3 linked regions of the Caenorhabditis elegans genome follow. The protein of the gene in region 1 purifies or fractionates together with the protein of each later gene. This does not show direct contact. Each region holds a gene or a part of one and is shown on either strand. Other genes may lie near its edges.

Region 1 (3,331 bases):
AGCGTTTTCCGTCGGCATTGTGCCATTCGAGGCGAAAGAGGAGGAGAAGCCACGTGGCATTTTCAAAAAAATTATGAGTACTTTGAAAGGGATCACTGGAAGAAATAGTGGAGATGATGAGATGAAGAAGAAGGAATAATTTATTGATTTTTTTTTTTTTTTTGGATTTTCGACTTTAAAATTAGCCTAAATTTATCCTAAAATTATCCTAAAAATTAAAATTTCACATGGTTGACAAATTTGCAGTGGAGCGCATTTGCAGAATTTTTTTTTTGAATTTTTTTTTCATAAAAAGCGTAACATTTTCCAAATTAATGGGATTTTTAAAGGAAAAAATTATCCCAAAAATTTTAATTTTCTAATTGAAAAAAGTGTTATTAGCCCAATTTTTAAAGGTTTTTTTTGCAATTTTCATCAGAAAAAGCGTTAAAAATATCAATTTTTCGTGAAAAGTTGATGAATTCTCTCAAAAACTCGGCAAAAAGTACCGCCAAAAATTCAAATTCTCCAATTTTTCATCTCTACCAGCAAATTCGCGATGGAGCGCATTTGCAGAGTTTTTTCAGAAAAATCGTAAAATTTTCCGAATTAACGAGTTTTTTTTTAAGTAAAAGTGATCCCAAAAATTCAAAATTTTCCGATTTTTGAAATTTTTTTGGTGCAAAAAAACTAATTTTCAAATTAAAAAAAAGTGATTTGTCTAAAATAAAAAGCGTTTAAAAAAACCTTTTAAAAATTTTTTTTCCCAAAATTCACGTGGTGCCAGGGGCTGTCCCATCGACGGTTTGATCTACAAAAAATGCGGGAGTTTTTCGCCCAAAAATGTTGTGACGTCAGCGCTTTCTTAACCATGCGAAATCAGTCCCCGCGCATTTTTTGTAGATCAAAGTAGATCAAATCGAAATGAGGCATTCTGACACCACGTGAAAATTTCAAATTCTCCAATTTTTCATCTCTACCATCAAATTTGCGATGAAGCGCATTTGCAAGGCCTTTTTTTAAATTTTTTAAAAACTCCTTAAAGTTAAAAAAAATCATTTAGCTTTAGAAAGCCCAAAAATTAAAAAAAAATTTTTTTTTAATCGAATATCAAAAATGCATTTGTGCTCCACCGCACGGCGGTAATTTCGAAATTTCTTTAAAATTTTTTTTATAAATTTCTGTATTTCACAACTGTATTTTTTCCCGAATTTTCCTCGCCTAATAACACTATTTGTCATGATTCTTACGTCATTGTCGCCGCCGTTTCTCTTTTTCTCTCGCCACTCTCTCATTTCCATACACTATTTCCACTCTCATTTTTATCATCATTTTCTTCAGTTTTTGCTGCTTTTAAAGCCTATGTTTTCCCTTTTTATATAATATCGCAGAATTTTGTTTTTGTAAATTTAATATATATATATATATATTATTTATTTGATGATAATGTGATTTCTAATTTTTTTTTCCCCAATTTTTTTCAAATTCAAATTGTCTCTACGCTTTTCTTATACTTCATTGCCTTTTTTTTTCAACAAAAATTTGAGAAAAAACACCAAAAAATTTCAGAAAAACCATGTCAAAAGCCTTTGTCGACGGACTTCTCCAATCTTCCAAAGTTGTCGTATTCAGCAAATCGTACTGCCCGTACTGCCATAAGGTAACACAATTTTTCTGAAAAATTTGAATTTTCCTCGAAAATTGCTTTTTGTCATCAAAAAAAAAAAAAAATTTTTCTGAACAATTTTGTCCTAAAAAATTTGCTTTTTTCTGGATTTTCAGCGAAATTTCCCAATTTTTTTGAAAAATTTATTCCAAAAAAAATTATTTTAAAAAATCGTGTGCAACAGAGCGCAGTTGCACCAGTATGAAATTTTGCAAATTCAATTTAACTTAAAAATCAAACATTTCTGTATTTTTCTGAAAATGCAGAAATTTTGGGTCTCGTAGCGATTTTTTTTGAGAAATTTTCGGAAAATTGAAGACAACGGCAAAAATCAATAATTTGCGAAAAAATCTGTCACGGGGTTCTGGCATTCCTCATTGAATTTTTCGCGCTCCATTGACAATCGGCTGCCGGACAACGCGTGGGAAAGTGTCGTGTACTCCACACGGACAAATACATTTAGTTTTACAACTGAAATCGAGCCGCGACGCGACACGCAACGCGCCGTAAATCTACCCCAGATATGGCCGAGCCAAATGGCCTAGTTCGGCAAAAACTCTTCCATTTCAATTTATGAGGGAAGCCAGAAATCCGTGAAAATTGAGAAAAATATTATCCATTTTCAAAATCTTTTTTTTGCAAAATTTTTGAGTCTCGGATACATTTTTTAAAATAATTTTTTGAGAAAAATTAAAAAACCCCAATTTTTCAGGCTCGTGCTGCTCTTGAATCGGTCAACGTGAAGCCCGACGCTCTGCAATGGATCGAAATCGACGAGCGCAAGGATTGCAATGAGATTCAGGATTATCTTGGCTCTCTAACCGGAGCCCGCTCGGTGCCACGTGTCTTCATCAACGGCAAGTTCTTCGGCGGCGGTGACGACACAGCGGCCGGAGCCAAGAACGGAAAACTCGCCGCACTGCTCAAGGAAACCGGAGCTCTATAGAATTTGAATCGCCATTAATTTTTATGTATTTGATTTATTTTTTTCTTCATAATTCAATGACACAACCCGAGATAAAAGTGAGAAAAGAGAGAAAAGTAGTACAGCCAAAACACGTGGTGTTAGCAGAGTGTCTCATTGCGGCTTGATCTACGCTGATCTACAAAAAATGCGGGAGAAGAGACGCAGAGTTCTCACATTTTTCTGGGCAAAAAATTCCCGCATTTTTTGTAGATCAAACCGTAATGGGACAGCCTGGCACCCCACGTGCCAAAAAAAAAACGAAATTCAAGAATACATAGAACTGATTAGAATATCGTCTTCGTCGGAATCCTGTTGCAGTATGCTCGGGCCCCCGTGCCCGCCGCCACGTCGATTTCGAAATCCGGATTTTTGTCGTGATCGCCGACGAATCACAGCGACTACGGCAACCGAGAGAACGAAAAACGCGACAAAGGCGAAGAAAATGTGCGAGTATTGGATTGTGACGGTGCCTGAAAATTAAAAAAAAAAGGTTTTTGATGAATATGCGCGTAAAATTCGGTGTGTTGCGAAGTTTGGCTAATTTTTGGCGCATACCATGAGATTTACTGCAAAATTTTCAAAAAAGATATGTTGTTTCACACGTGGTGCCAGGCTGTCCTATTACGGTTTGATCTACAAAAAATGCGGGAATTTTTGTGCGAAATCGGTTAAGAACTCTGCGTCTCTTCTCCCGCATTTTTTGTAGATCTACGTAGATC
Region 2 (3,755 bases), 1.9 Mb from region 1:
ACAAAAACATGATTCAGTGCGCCGGAAAATGCATTTTCGCAACTCTCGCACGCTTTTTTTCGCAAAAAAAAAACGCTAATTCTGTGCAAAAATGCATTTTGCGGCACACTTTTCTTGGCATCAAACTACTCACTTGGTTGTCAAATCGAGCTTGCGAATTTGTTGTCCCTTCACATAGAAAACCAAATTATCACTGACACAATAAGCCGGGCGTTCTCTTTGAATTTTAAAAACGACCATTCCATTGTCATGTCCTGCGGCGAACATGTTCAAGCTTGGATGGGCGGCCAAAACCCAGAAACGCTCATTTTCATGTCGGAAAACGTGAAGACTGGTACGCTTCTGCATATCCCACACACGAATCGACTTATCCTCCGAGTTGGAAAGAATCAAGTCAGCATTTGGATGGAAGATCACAGATGAGACGTTATTGTAGTGTCCACGGCACGAGTCGAGCTCCCAGGCTTTCGTCTCATTGTAACGCCAAATCTTGACTTGACGATCATCGGATCCCGAGACTAGAATTGGATTGGTATGATGGAATGCAACCCAGTTGACTCCACGATCGTGTCCCTCTAGCACATGCTTCACAACTGCATCAGGTTGCCCGAATAGCTCAGCTTGTTGCCCTCCGGTTGGCCGGCTTGGAGCACCTCCACCAGGCATTTGCTTCTTCCGAAGTCCAGAAATATCCCAAACACGGACGGTCTGATCCAAGGAGGCAGAAGCCACAAGATCTTCGGTTGGGTGGAATTGAGCACACATGACGTAGTGATTGTGTCCGGTGAGGATGGCGATCGAGTTTCGGCTCTGCCAATTCCAAATCCGAACCGTTTGATCGTCGGACGCAGAAATGATCCATGGATACTTATGATGGAAGAAAGTGGTACGAATATAATCCAAATGTCCGAGAAGTGTGAAAATACAGCGTTTCTGCTTGTAATTCCACACTTTAATCTTATAATCATCTCCTCCAGACACAAAGATCGGCTGATCATGATGGAAGCAAATTCCTCTCACTGGACCATCGTGCTCGTCGAACTTCTCGAGAAGAACGCACATTCGGTAGTCCCAGAGTTGAATGACTCCACTGTGCAGCGATGTGAGCACCCATGGCCGAGTTGGGTGGAACGAAATTCCTGGAAAATTGGGAAATTATTGAAAAATAATGCCAAAAACCAAAATATTTACCTTTAACCCTAGCGGATTTTGATTCAAATTTGATAAGGAGCGACATGATATCCGATTTATAGTCGGTAACCAGTCAAAAACTGCTCCTCGGCGTGAATGAAGGTTCTGAAATTATGGAAATGACACGTGGATATATAAGAATGTTTAAAAAAAACAGACAAAAATGCAAAAAATCAATGAAAAAACTTGGAATTTCGATTAAATTGATAAAGAAACTACGAAAAATACCATAAAAATTAAGAATTTCAGAGATAAAAATCGGTAAATCCACGTTAAAAGAGACAGAAAATGGAGAAAAGAGGACAACGTGGAAACCTGCGCATCAAACGGAATGTGTGCAAACACGGCGACGCGAAACTGCACAGTTTAGGAAAAATGACCGTTAAAGGGGAATTTTAAGTGGGAATTGACATAAAAAAGTGCTGAAAATTGAGGAAAATGGAGGTTTTATTCGGAGAAAGTAGTTTTTAACTGAAAAATTAGGGTTTTTGAAGATTTTTCCCACGTGTTCATATTTAATTTCTTCTCAAAATGTCATTTATTGCTTAAATATTTCAATTTTCTTCTTTAGAAGCTTCTAACTCCATGGCAAAACCGATTTTATATTCATATTGGCGTTCGTCGTGTGCCTGGAGAGTTCGCATCGGTAATTTTAGCTTGGAAATTCTATAAAATACTGATTTATAGCACTTGCTCTGAAAAATATCGACTACGAATACCGGCCAATCGACTTATTTTCTGAAGAATCCAAGGTTAGAAAATTTCCGGCAAATTGGAAAATTGCCGGAATTGAAAATTTCCGGCAAAATTCGCCAGAGCGGCAAATTGCCGGGATTGAAAATTTTCGGCAAATCGGCAAAGTGCCGAAATTTAAATTTCCGGCAAAATTCGGCCTAGCGGCAAATTGCCGATTTGCCGGAAAAAACCACAATTTGTCGAAAACTTTTGGCAACGGTAAATCGGCAATTTGCCCAAAATTACAATTTCCGGCAAATCGAAAATTTAATGAAAATCAAAATTTTCGGGCAAATTGGAAAATTGCCGGAATTGAAAATTTTCGGCAAATTCGGCATATTGCCTGAATTGAAATTTCCAGCAAATTGCTAGAATTGAAAATTTCCGGTAAATTGGAAAATTGCCGGAATTGAAAATTTCTGGCAAAATTCGGCAGAACGGCAAATCGCTGATTTGCCGGAAAAACACAATTTGCCGAAAACTTTCGGCAACTTGTGGTTTTGCACATTTTTTTCTGGAAATTTCAGAATTTCAATTTTAATCGGTAAAATTCGGCAAACGGTAAATCGGTAAATTGCCGGAATTGAAAATTTCCGGCAAACCGGCAATTTGCCATCCACCCCTGCCCTACTCCCACTTCCATAGAAATATAGCTGTATTTCAGAACAATGCAGAGTTCGTCAAGCACAACCCAGCGAAAAAAGTTCCAACTTTAGTGATAAATGGCTTATCACTGACAGAAAGCTTGGCAATAATCGAATATTTGGATGAAGCCTATCCGGATCCTCCGTTCCTTCCAAAAGAATTGGATAAGAGATCGTATTCAAGAGCTATCGCACTTCATGTGAGCTTTTAACATTCTTTAACAACTCTAAGCGAGCTCTTTTCAGATAGTCGCAAGTATTCAGCCACTTCAAGCAATCAATATCCACAAAATGCTCAATGAAAAGGAGCCGGGATACGGTGACTTTGTGGGTTCTCACGTGGTGTCAGAGTGTCCCATGTCGGGTTGATCTACCTAGATCTACAAAAAATGCGGGAGAAGAGACGCAGACTTCTAGAACGTGCTGCTGACGTCACATTTTATCGGTGAAAAAAATTTCCGCATTTTTTGTAGATCAAACCGCAATAGGTTCCAAGAGGCGTTTCCCGATAGTTCAAAATGTATTTCAGTGGTGCAATCACTTTGTGAACAAGGGATTCTTAGCTCTCGAAGAACTTTTGAAGAAGCATTCTGGGAAATATTGTGTTGGAGATCAGCTTACAATTGCTGATATCAACTTGCCATCGATAATTTATAATGCGAAAATGTAGGTTATTTCAAAATTTTGAATTTTTAAATTAAAAATTTTGAAATTTCCAGCTACAAAGTCGACATGTCCAAATATCCAACTATTACTCGAATTAATGAGATTCTGGCGGAAGATTTTAGATTCAAATTGGCTCATCCAGATAATCAGCCAGATGCTCCAAATAAAAACTAATATTGAACAATGAATAAAGTTTTTAATTGAGACTATATGTTTAAGATTTAAAAATTTGGAAATTGCCTGAAATTCAGATAGCCGTTCAGCAAATTGCCGGTTTGCCGGAAATTTTTTATTTCGATAAGTTGTCGGTTTGCCGGAAATTTTCAATTCCGGCAATTTTCCAAAATTTGCCAGAAATTTTGAATTTTGACAATTTGCCGATTTGCCGGAAATTTTCAATTTCGGCAATTTTCCGAATTTGCCGAAAATTTTCAATTCCGGCAATTTTCCGAATTTGCCGGAAATTTTCAATTCCGGCAATTTTCCGAATTTGCCGGAAATTTTCAATTCCGGCAATTT
Region 3 (3,755 bases), on another chromosome or scaffold:
ATTTTTTGACATTTTAAGCGAGCTTAAAAAACCTCTTGCTTAAAAATTGATAAACTATTAGTTTTAATTGGGTTTATTTCATAAACTCATCGGAAAACATCTATTTTATATTTTTCTTTAAAAAAACAGAAAAAACAAGAAAACCAAAGAAAAAGAAGAAAAAAGTGGTACTGTGGATTTAAAGGAGCATGGGGCAGTTTTATCGTATGGGTCTCGAGCGGAAAAGTTTGTTTCAGCAATTTCAGCCATTTAATAGTGAAAAATTCAATGCATTTATTAGTTTCTGTTTAAAAACCAATAAAAATCCACAAATTTCCTTTAAAATCGATAAGAAACTCAAGAAAAAGACTAAAAACCAAGCAGTTTGTCAACTTTATAATCGATTTAAGCCATTCAAAACGTGGCTTTTTGCTTGTATAATACGTCCGTGTGGGGGGTGGCGATTCGATAGTGTCTCGTCGTCTCACCACTCTCTTCACAAATTGTCACTCTCTCGTCGCTCGGTCTCTCAAAATGTGTGGAGAGAGACGACGACGCAGATGTTATCGCAGTGTACTCTGCGTATCGTCTCTTGTTTTTTTTTGGTTTTTTGGAAGTTTGGTTAGTCATTTTTGAATGGGGCAATTAAAATTATCTACAAAAACTGGAAAAAATTGAATCTCCCTGAAATCATCCACAAAAATATATAAAAATGTATAAATCTGCCGGAAGCAATATTTGAAAGATCAAAATGTGGTCCTCTAATATATCATGCGGTTTTCTCCTAAAATGCTTCATTTCCTGAACCAAAATAGCTTTATTTCAAATCCAAAAGCGATTTTCAGTGATTCTTTGTTGAAACCGAAATATCTCAAAATCTAAGAGAGATTTTCAAAAAGTTTCAACTAACAAAATATAACCATTTAAAATTCCTATATTTTGTTAGTTAAAAGTTTTTTGATAGCTCTTCTCCCCGCGGAGATATGCACGTTCAAAGTTTAGGCAGCGAGAAAGTGTGGAGGGAGGGGAGACGCAGGCAGCGCGCGCTGTCTCCGTCTCTCCCCCTTCTACACTATTTTATGGCGTCAATTTTAAAGGCGGATATCTCAACGGAGAGAAGAGAAATAAAAAGTTTTTAACTGACAGAATATAGGAAATTTTGAGGGCTACATTGAATTGTTAAAATTTGGTTAAAATTTTGATTCTTGTTCGATTGTTACCCGTTTAAGAGTTTCGAAATTACAATTTCGAGGGAAAATTGTAAGAAAATGTAGGTTTGCTAGCTGAAAATGTGCTCTCAGAGCAAACTTAGTCACTTAGTGATAAGAAAATGTTAAGAAATTATGGAATGTACGTTAAAACTGATAAGGAGGCAATGATCAAAGTCAATTTTTTTTTTCCTAAAATTTTTTTTCTTAACGTTTCGGGGCCTCCAACTAGAAACCAGTATTATTTGAAAAAATAAGATATGAGCAAACATCAGGTCAGAGAACATAATCAGAATATGTTTTGTGGTAAGAAATTGGGCACAAGTTAGACATCAAAAAATTTGCGCGTTCTTTCACCTACAAATTTTCAAAGATACATATCTCTGCAGGGAAAAAAACTTAGAAAAAGTTGTCAACTAATAAAATATAGGAAATTTCAAGGGCTATATTTTTTCAGTTTGCACCTTTTCTAGAACAGTTTTCCTAGCAGAGATATTAACGTTTGAAAAAAGAAGTACTGAATGGGCGGGGAGCGACGCAGGCAACAACCCGTGCAGTTTCAGCCCTTTGTATCTCTGTTTCTATCAATGTTAAAAAAAAGTTGTCAACCAATAAAATATAGGAAATTTCAAGGGCTATATTTTAATAGTCAACAATTTTTTTGATAACTTTCTTCATTGCAAAGTTACACCTAAAACATCATTACACCTTGTGTTTTGCTACCAAACATCACCGATTTCTCACCTAAACATGTTATTGACCTTTATCATTCATTATCATTCATCACTATCACTTTTCTCCAAAATTGTCACAAACACATTGACTTTCTTTAGAAAATGGCAGCAAAACCTATATTGTACTCCTCTTGGAGTTCAGGATGTTCGTCAAGAGTTAGAACTGGTGAGTTTTCCAAAAAAAAATCTGTAAATCCTGATTTACTGTTGAACTATGCGTCTTTAAAGTCAAGAAGGTGAGAGAGTATGGAGGGAGGGGAGACGCAGAGGCTGTCTAATTTTCAAAGGCGCATATCTCTGCAGAGTGCGAAGTTATCAAAAATTGTCAATCAACAAAATGTTGGATATTTTAAGGGCTATATTTTGCCAGTTTACAACTTTTTCGTACCTCTTTCCTCGGCAGAGTTATGCGCCTTTAAAGTTGACGTGAAGAAACATTGTGGAAGGGGGAGAGACGCAGACAACTAGTGCCACCTGCGTCTCCCCTCCCTCCACACTCTCTCGCTGCCTAAACTTAAAACGCGCATATCTCAGCGGGGAGAAGAGCTATCGAAAAAATTTTAACTAACAAAATATAGGAATTTTTGAGGTCTATATCTAAGCAGGTAACTGAACTTCAGAAGACAAAAAAAAATATGGGATTTTTTTAAATTTTTTCAGCTCTTGCTCTGAAAAAGATCGACTATGAATATCAACCCGTGAACTTGCTGAACAAACAGAAAGAGGTAAATTTTAAATTTTGCTCCTAACTCCAAGTTTTTCCATTTTCAGCAAGAATTCCATGGGAACAATCCTGCGGAAAAAGTTCCAATTCTGAAAATCAACGGTCTAACTCTGACAGAAAGCATGGCAATAATCGAATATCTCGATGAAATCTACCCAGACCCACCACTTTTGCCGAAAGAGCCCGAGCTCAAAGCTCGCGCGAGAGCTATTGCTTTTCATGTATGTTTGTTGCATTTATAGACATATTAAACTGTGTTATTTTCGTATTAAAATTTTTAAAATTCGAATTAAGTTCACCAAGACCCCCACAAAATAGGTAGGTTTGTTTTCGCGGTGAGACCAGAAATAATTTCTCGATTTTGCTATAATAGAAAAATTTCAGATCGCCTCAAATATCCAGCCTCTGCAAAACAAGCCGATCTACCTGATGCTCAATGAGAAAGAGCCCGGCTATGGGGATTTTGTGAGTTCAAAAAAAATTTTATAGAGTAGTTAGTATTTGTAGGTGTAAAAAAATTCCTAAAAATCTGAAAATTTAAAGCAATTTCTAAAAAAAATTCCAAAAAAATTTATATAAAAATTTGTTTTTTTTTTTTGAAAAAAAAAACTTCGCAGTTTCCTCGTCGAGACCTAACTTTTTAGATTTTCAAATACGAATTTTATATTCAGCTCACCAAGAGCTTCAAGATGATACCCATATTGGGGTCTTGCCACGAAACCCCTCAGGGTTGCGGTAGCTATTGTGTATTATACTTTTTATATATTTATAATACTTTTTATAATTATACTTTTTTAAGCTCTTAATGCACTGAATTCGATAATTGAATTAATTTTTCCTTTTATACTCTTAACTTCAAGAAATCAATAAAAAATTCTTTAAAAAGTGAATTTTTCCAGTGGTGCCAACACTTCATCAGCAAAGGATTCAAGGCTCTCGAAGAGCTCCTGCAAATGCACTCTGGAGATTTTTGCGTCGGAAATCAAATTTCTATCGCTGATATTTGTCTTCCATCAATTGTGTATAATGCTATAGAAAAGTAAGGAAAAATTATTTAAAAAAGCACATTTTTGTTCAAAAAAAAATTGCCAGATACCACGTGGACATGAC

Evidence for each region.
Region 2: the proteins of glrx-10 (region 1) and gst-43 fractionate together in Caenorhabditis elegans (co-fractionation; one large-scale study listed by BioGRID). This does not show direct contact.
Region 3: the proteins of glrx-10 (region 1) and Y53G8B.1 fractionate together in Caenorhabditis elegans (co-fractionation; one large-scale study listed by BioGRID). This does not show direct contact.

What each region holds. Positions count from the first base shown.
Region 1 is NC_003279.8:1,048,048-1,051,378, forward strand, and holds glrx-10 (Glutaredoxin-1), read left to right. Parts: upstream 1-1,548; 5' UTR 1,549-1,555; coding exon 1,556-1,639; intron 1,640-2,357; coding exon 2,358-2,591; 3' UTR 2,592-2,680; downstream 2,681-3,331. Other genes in the region: Y34D9A.7 (PSP proline-rich domain-containing protein), read left to right, coding at 1-139; Y34D9A.8 (Low-density lipoprotein receptor domain class A), read right to left, coding at 2,877-3,082.
Region 2 is NC_003279.8:2,899,565-2,903,319, forward strand, and holds gst-43 (maleylacetoacetate isomerase), read left to right. Parts: upstream 1-1,760; 5' UTR 1,761-1,776; coding exon 1,777-1,837; intron 1,838-1,878; coding exon 1,879-1,943; intron 1,944-2,590; coding exon 2,591-2,770; intron 2,771-2,816; coding exon 2,817-2,897; intron 2,898-3,099; coding exon 3,100-3,236; intron 3,237-3,289; coding exon 3,290-3,410; 3' UTR 3,411-3,442; downstream 3,443-3,755. Other genes in the region: copa-1 (Coatomer subunit alpha), read right to left, coding at 134-1,139, 1,192-1,237.
Region 3 is NC_003281.10:3,127,322-3,131,076, forward strand, and holds the start of Y53G8B.1 (maleylacetoacetate isomerase), read left to right. Parts: upstream 1-1,955; 5' UTR 1,956-2,023; coding exon 2,024-2,087; intron 2,088-2,581; coding exon 2,582-2,646; intron 2,647-2,692; coding exon 2,693-2,866; intron 2,867-3,029; coding exon 3,030-3,110; intron 3,111-3,544; coding exon 3,545-3,684; intron 3,685-3,737; coding exon 3,738-3,755.